Tribolium castaneum: one gene and its partner. The protein of the gene in region 2 purifies or fractionates together with the protein of the main gene of each other region. This does not show direct contact. Links are inferred from orthologs where the notes say so. Each region holds a gene or a part of one and is shown on either strand. Other genes may lie near its edges.

The links. The genes of interacting proteins can lie anywhere in the genome.
Region 1: the proteins of 128up (region 2) and Ntmt purify together in Homo sapiens (affinity purification with mass spectrometry; 3 studies listed by BioGRID and IntAct, counting the BioPlex papers as one, with this or other methods). This does not show direct contact. The link is inferred for Tribolium castaneum from reciprocal best matches to the Homo sapiens genes DRG1 and NTMT1.

The regions. Positions count from the first base shown.
Region 1 is NC_087398.1:11,363,597-11,366,754, reverse strand, and holds Ntmt (N-terminal Xaa-Pro-Lys N-methyltransferase 1), read right to left. Parts: upstream 1,841-3,158; 5' UTR 1,682-1,840; coding exon 1,665-1,681; exon of another isoform or gene 1,662-1,664; coding exon of another isoform or gene 1,657-1,661; intron 1,605-1,656; coding exon 1,140-1,604; intron 1,084-1,139; coding exon 843-1,083; 3' UTR 820-842; downstream 1-819. Other genes in the region: RpL35 (large ribosomal subunit protein uL29), read left to right, coding at 210-212, 384-520, 567-798; uncharacterized protein LOC659581, read left to right, coding at 2,120-2,250, 2,299-2,452, 2,500-3,108, 3,157-3,158. UniProt on the Homo sapiens protein: Distributive alpha-N-methyltransferase that methylates the N-terminus of target proteins containing the N-terminal motif [Ala/Gly/Pro/Ser]-Pro-Lys when the initiator Met is cleaved.
Region 2 is NC_087399.1:7,814,703-7,819,350, forward strand, and holds the start of 128up (GTP-binding protein 128up), read left to right. Parts: upstream 1-1,548; 5' UTR 1,549-1,661; coding exon 1,662-1,703; intron 1,704-1,755; coding exon 1,756-2,461; intron 2,462-2,512; coding exon 2,513-2,642; intron 2,643-2,689; coding exon 2,690-2,812; intron 2,813-4,536; coding exon 4,537-4,639; 3' UTR 4,640-4,648. Other genes in the region: probable ATP-dependent DNA helicase HFM1, read left to right, coding at 1-1,026. UniProt on the Homo sapiens protein: Catalyzes the conversion of GTP to GDP through hydrolysis of the gamma-phosphate bond in GTP. Appears to have an intrinsic GTPase activity that is stimulated by ZC3H15/DFRP1 binding likely by increasing the affinity for the potassium ions.

The DNA.
Region 1 (3,158 bases), on a different chromosome or scaffold from region 2:
AAATTTTGTTGAATTTAGAGTGTGTTAATTAATTGATACAAAAGGCAACAGCTGAGCAAAGTATTTATAATTAGACTGTTATTTCGGAAGCATAAGTTTCGGTCCTTGTACTATTACTATTATTTTTATAATTTAAGAAATTTAAACTGGTGTCGTAGTGCCAACTTAACCGACGTAAATTCTTTCAGATTGTTGTTGCGGAAGGCAGAATGGTAAGTTAAATAAATCTGAGTTTATTTTATAATTTACGGATCATCTGGTAACCAAACGACCAAGTTTCGCCCCCATTACCGTCCCCCGACTCTTGCATTGCGTTATTTCCCTCTTTCCTCGCAAATTTCGTGTTTGTGTCCGTTAGGTTAACTAACCTACAATTTTTTCAGGGTAAGGTAAAGTGCTCCGAACTGCGAACTCGCGACAAGAAGGAGCTCACCAAGCAGCTCGATGAGCTCAAAACCGAGCTCACAAGTCTCAGGGTGGCCAAAGTGACGGGCGGCGCCCCCTCGAAACTGTCCAAGATGTAAGTGTTGTTTTGCTTCAGCCACCAAGTAATGCTCGAATTACAGTCGCGTTGTACGCAAAGCCATCGCTCGCGTGTACATTGTGATGCACCAGAAGCAAAAAGAGAATTTGCGGAAGTTGTACAAGAACAAGAAATACAAGCCTCTGGATTTGAGACCTAAGAAGACCAGGGCTTTGCGCCGTGCGCTCACCAAACACGAGAGACGCATCAAGACGCCCAAGGAGCTCCACAAGAGGTCGATCTACCCCCAGAGGAAGTTCGCGTTGAAAGCTTAATTTGTACAATTAAATAAAACGTTTCGTAAAATAGTTATTTCATTTTATTCATCAGGTACGTGTTGTTTTTGGGGTCGTAGGATAAACATGTAGACCGTGTACAAGCCCTTGGGGAAGTTTCGTTGCTTCACTTGTCGGTAACAGTCCAAGTCAGCTTTTGCGAATATTTGGCGGAATAAAGACAAGGGGCGTGTGACTGAAGAGTCTCGCTCGTCTTTGTCAATTTCCTCACTTGACGAAATGTTTTCTTTGATTATTATGACACCATTTGGTTTAAGTCCACTTCTGGAAGAATAATTAATTTCAAATAAAAACTGTAACCAAAAGTGGCAAACACTTACTGGCACGACTTTAAAAACGTAACTAAATCCAGATCTGTCAAGTGCCCCAAAACCCACTGGCACCAGATAACATCGTACTGTTTCTCGGGCTTGAAACTCTGGAGCCCCACAGAATAATAATTAACCTTCTCCTGCAACTTGGGCCCTAAATACTGTTCGGCTTGACTTAGAAACTTTGGATTTTGCTCGACTAGATCAATTTGATCGAAAAAATCGCTAAGGAGGTGCTTGGTTATGCGCCCAATGCCGGCACCACAGTCAAGGGCGTGCCCCCGGCCTGGGGGCTCCTTCGAGTTAAACAGCTGCTTGAGCAGCAATTTGGAGTCCCTAATATCGGTCTGAGAGATGTGCCCGAAACCGCCGAGCATACCGTCGATGGTTGGGGGGATCTCGGACCAATACTGAACGGCGTTTGAGTAAAATGAATCATCGGTTGTCGACGCACTACTCACTTCCATTTTCACACTTAAAAATTATTAACAAAATGAAAATGAAACGAAAAAGGCGGGCACTTTACGACATAACCTATCATTTTTTGACATTTGGTAAAACTGGCACGTTCCATAAATCGCAATAAATTAATACAGCTTATTAAATTATAATTAAATATCACTCAAAATGGCAGGCAGTCGTGGGGGCGAATCACTAATTGTGTACAAATAAGTCGGTGAGTTTGTCCAAACTTTTTGATTTTTGTCAGGGTGACGTTTCGGAAAGCACCCAATTTGGCAGCGATTGTTTGGTCGACTGTAATGTTCATGATTTTTGGTGCTATTTTCTTATTCTATGATCCAATTTGACAAATCGGTGTGACAAATAGCCCCACCGGCGTTTGTCATCATGTTTTGTTGTGTTTCGTAACAAATTCAATGGATTTGTTCCATAAAGCGTTGAAAACAATACTTTCGTTATCATGATTGTGATAAGGCACCCCAAATGCTATTAAAGGCGTGTTGGTAGTGGACGGTTTTAGTTACAAAATGCGCATAATTAGAACAATGCAAATCAGAAAAGTGTTTCTTCTGGCCATTTCTTCAGCCTTTGGTATTCTGATGTTACTTATAGTAACACGGGACTCTCCAATAAATGACATCGACCGAAAATTCCGATTGTGAGTATGAATGAGTTATTTTCGTAAATTCGAATTTGTGGCCTTTAGGGAAAAAATCGACGAACTGATTCACTCACAGGCGAGCTCCCTGGCTTGCAAACAGCCCAACTTGCCGGTATTTTCCCCCGAAATGATGAAATTCGTCCATGAGGAGCCCCCAATTGACTGTTCATCGGCAGGGCCGGACTGGGTCAAATGCCAAGTAAAGTTTTGCCGAATTTTAGCACAACTCTCAAACGCTGATTCAAGGGTAGCGAGTGTCGAATCCAGGACGAAATTAAGGCGAGACACGGACGCGTCACTTGTTCTTTCACTGATATAATCCGAGTCAATGATTTTGAGTCAACCAGTGGGGAAACAACCTACTCAGACTCCTACTATAAACTCGAAGCGAGCGATGTAGTCAAAGTTTCGTGTCGGGGGCAAAAGGCCCAATGGTCGGCGACTTTGACCGGAATTCGCCTCGATAAAAAAATTTGGGAGAATACTAGTTGGAGTAAACTACCCTCGGACGCTGTGAAGTTCAACGTTTTGATGTTCGGTTTCGACTCAATTTCGCGCAACTCTTTCGTGCGAAAGTTGCCCAAAAGCTACAAGTTTTTGACTGAAATATTGCACGGGGACGTTCTACAAGGGTATAACATAATCGGGGACGGAACCCCGCAAGCCCTAATACCGATTTTAACGGGGAAGACCGAACTGGAACTCCCTGATACGAGAAAACGGTTCGCAAACACGAAATTCGTGAACTCGTACCCGTTTATTTGGAATGAGTACAAGAAGGCGGGATACGTGACTGGTTACTTTGAGGATGTGCCCGAACTGGGGATTTTTACATATCGCCTAAATGGTTTCAATGTTTGTGTGTTATTGTATTGTTGGCTATGAAGTCAGAAATGGTTTTAGGA
Region 2 (4,648 bases):
AACTTTTGTCTGACACCTCGTCGTAATAATGGGGCACGTAATTCAGAAAATTTGGAATATACAACAACAATGACCGAAAGTGGGGAAAAAAACAACACTGAAAATATGAACATATTTGAGGATCCTTTTAACGATTCCCTTGAGTCGGCTTTGATGAAATTCGATTGTGGTCCACCTTCGGAGCTAGAAAGTGATAAATCAAACAGTTTTGATAAAGAAGGTCTTTTTGAAAATGAGGCGAAGGAAGTGAGACATCCTTTTGATTGTCGAGAACCGTCCCCGCCTGAAATGCTAAGGAAAAATACAAACCAGATTTGTCGAAGTCGGTTCTTTCAACCAATGGCTGAGCCCAGTCATTATCAAAACCGTTCCGATGATAGTTTTCTGACACAAAAGTCACACCCTTACCCGTACCAAAGCCGTGCACCTGCACATATGTTTCCAATAAGTAATGGTCGAGGTTTTGAGACACCGAATGATTTTTACAAGATGATGTGTGAAGAGCGTCCTATTAATCGTCATTATGTGGATTTGGGTCAAAATCCTTATTTAAACATTTCACAAGATTTTCCCGACAGGAGGGAACACTACAACAGTCAGAGACACCTCTTTGATGGTACTCCTCGATGTTATCCCAGGGGGCATATGGATGATTGTGATGGTTATGCCTATATTAGACGAAACATGGATAGGGATTATGACCCCTTTGACTATAGGAATAATCCTCAGTACTATAAACCAGTACCTAATATCGATTTCTATGAGAGGTCACAAAGGAGTTTTGCCCGAAATCGGGAAAATATTCCCTTTCAGGATTTTGATCTTGATCGAAGTAATAGTTATTATGATGAAAGTCATTTACCTTTGTCTTATCCCGAATTGCCCAGTTCCCAGATGTCAAGACGAGAGTATTATATGCCGTCTAATTCATTTAACGATGTGTATAACAATAAGCAGTTGATAATGCAAAGATTCTTAAATTGTGTAGGTTCAGACCAAGAAAAAAGAGTGAATTATTTCCCTTAAAAAACAGCTTTCGAGTTACTTTTGTTACGGTTGTCGAATAAACGACATTTTGATAAAGGCGGCCATTTATTTACTAAAATTACGTTCGGCACATTATTTTATAAGAATATTAAACAGTTGGTTGCAAAAGTTGTGAATTTGGGATTTTTTAAATTTTTGTCAAAGTTTTGGTAAAAACTGAAAATACAGGTGTTTGCAATCGGTCTATATCTGAAATATAGTGAAATCTTCCGAATAACGGACACTTCTTTACAACGGACTTTGTTGTAGGAACGTAACAAAACCTACATTAAAATTTCCACCACCCATTACTGGACATCTCTCCACAACGGAGAATTAAAAATTCCCCAATTGGTGTCCGTTATTGAGAGGTTTTACTGTATTGGATAAATTATTGAGTTGCAAATAACATTCTAAGCGTTAAATTCATACTTTTTGAATAACGTATGAGTTCCGAAAAGTATCACTTGGTTATTTTATTGCCGAATTCACAAAAAAATGACAGAATTCAAAATTAGCGCTTTTTTATATGTCAAAATTCCACAGCCGCATGCGAGCAACGTGTATCGCAAACTGCTTGGTTTTCGCACAAAACGTTATTATTATCACTTGAAGCGCCTACATAATCTAAAAAAATGAGTACAATTTTAGAAAAAATCGCCGCAATCGAGGCGGAAGTAAGTACTTGTGAAAAAACCCAAAATTTCCTCCCCTAACCCCACTTTCCAGATGGCACGAACCCAAAAAAACAAAGCCACCGCTGGCCATTTGGGGCTACTGAAGGCCCGTTTGGCCAAATTACGCCGCGAACTGATCACCCCCAAAGGGGGCGGTGGCGGCACCGGCGAGGGCTTCGACGTGGCCAAAACAGGGGATGCCCGCGTTGGTTTCGTGGGGTTCCCCTCCGTCGGTAAATCCACCCTACTTAGCAACCTAGCGGGGGTTTACTCCGAAGTGGCCGCTTATGAATTTACAACGCTTACGACAGTCCCCGGCTGTATTAAATACAAGGGGGCTAAAATCCAGCTACTCGATTTGCCGGGGATTATCGAGGGGGCGAAGGACGGCAAGGGGCGCGGCCGGCAGGTCATAGCCGTCGCGCGGACGTGTTCGCTGATTTTCCTCTGTTTGGATGTTCTGAAGCCTTTGCATCATAAAAAATTGATCGAGCATGAGTTGGAAGGGTTCGGCCTGAGGCTGAATAAACAGCCCCCCAATATTTATTTCAAGAAGAAGGACAAGGGGGGGATCAATTTGAACTGCATGGTGCCCCAGTCTGAGCTTGATTCGGACACGGTTAAGTCAATCTTGTCCGAGTATAAAATACACAATGCTGATGTTACGCTAAAGTATGACGCCACCAGTGATGATCTAATCGATGTGATTGAAGGGAACCGAATCTACGTCCCGTGCATTTACATACTCAACAAAATCGGTATTTCCCCGAGTTTTTGCGTTTATTGTGATTTAGTTGGCTGAATTTCAGATCAAATAAGTATTGAGGAGTTGGATATTATCTACAAAATCCCTCACTGTGTTCCTATTTCGGCCCACCACAGGTGGAATTTCGACGATTTGCTTGAGAAAATGTGGGAGTACCTCAAACTAGTTAGGATGTAATTGAGTAATTTTTTGTTGACTTTTTTATAACTAATTATTTTAGTTACACAAAACCGAAAGGCCAGCTTCCGGATTACAATTCCCCAGTGGTTTTACACTCAGAGCATACATCTATTCAAGACTTTTGTAATAAACTGCATAGGAGCATCGCGAAAGAATTCAAATAGTGAGTTTTTTTAATTAAAAATGTTATTAACTTATTACAGACTAAGCTAATTACAATGTAATCTGATTACTCTGTATTCAATTACACTGTAATTGTATCTTTTTATTAGTCATAATTAGCTATGTGTTAATTAAAATGAAAAGTAATCGATTAATTTGCCAATAATTAGATAAACTAAAAATGATTTTAGTCTCAATTTTCTAAAGTGAAGATTATGAGTGGCAATGTTTTTTTGTTTAAATCTCTCAAAAAATGTTAACTTCTGAACACCCGCTAAAAAATTGTTCGTGTATCATGGCAAAAGATGTCCACTGTCCATATTTTCAGGAAAAAACAAGTATTCTTGTGTTGAAAGAAGAAAATTATGATGATATAAGACATTATTATTAAATGTGCACAATGGAATCCCTATTAACCCCCTTGGAGGTGGAACTTCCAAAAATAACTAATATACCCCCTTGATGATGTCAAGTAAATTTGACGCCAAAATTTTAATTTCGTAGTTTGTTTCACACAAACCTATTTGAAATTTGAATTTACCACATTAAAAAAAATGAACAAAATAACTGATAACAAACTAAATAATAATTATGTCATGTAATTTACTAACATTTTTTATAGAAAATTCTAGGATAATAAAGCCCTAACAACTAAATGCTCGGACAAATAAATATTATAAGTTATAACAAACACAGTAAAATCACTGCTGTAGATGACAGAAACTAAATAGTTAAGTAACCAAAGATAATATTTTTGCAACAAAAAGAAAATTTTGGTTATGAAGAACGTCTCATCTCATAATTTTAGAACAAAATTTGAGAAGTAAATAAATGGTTAGATAAAATATATACGTATTTGTATTTTTAGTAATAAACCCTGGAAGAAGTTGTTTATTTTCACAGCTAAAGTAATTGCTACACCGTACGTAAACATTGAAATATTTGTTTATTTAATTTGAGTAAATTTAAATTTTCGACGAAGAAGAGTCCTGGTTTTGCAACAATGTGAAAATACATTAAGTTATCATAAACTAATATATTTCCACGAAAAAACTGTTCAAAATATTGTGAACGAATTTGATATGTGCCAAGTAAAAAAATAGAAAAATCCTAGAAGATTGAGAAATATTACAACTATAATCAATTTTTTTGGCAAAAAATTATGGCGAAACATCGCAATTAATTAATAAATTAATAACAATAATAAATGAAATATATAATTAATCTTTCGTAATTGCAAAACAAGTATTCTTGTGTTGAAAGAAGAAAATTATGATGATATAAGACATTATTATTAAATGTGCACAATGGAATCCCTATTAACCCCCTTGGAGGTGGAACTTTCAAAAATAACTGATATACCCCCTTGATGATGGAATTTTTAAAAAGCATGATACAGGTGTTTTAAATTAAATTTTTTTACCAAAAATCCTACCAATTTCATAACTTCTTAAAAAAATTAAGACTACACTAATTTTAAGCCTGGGGGTGGAATTTTCAATAAATTTGAAACACCTGTTTCTTCATTTTTAATCGAGATGTCATACCAACTTTCATGATATAATTTCAAACATTTTGTTTAACAAAAAAAAATATGTAATAATTAAATAAAAATTAATCAGATTACATTAGGTAACTATGAATGAACATTACTTTAGTAATTTGTTACAAATTACATGGCTAATTGTTAATTAGATTACATTTGGTTTAAACTATTTTTTTCAGTGCCTTGGTTTGGGGCTCTTCAGTGAAGCATCAGCCTCAGAAAGTCGGCTTGGATCATATTCTTTGCGATGAGGATGTTGTACAGATTGTTAAGAAAGTTTGAGCTCCGTTT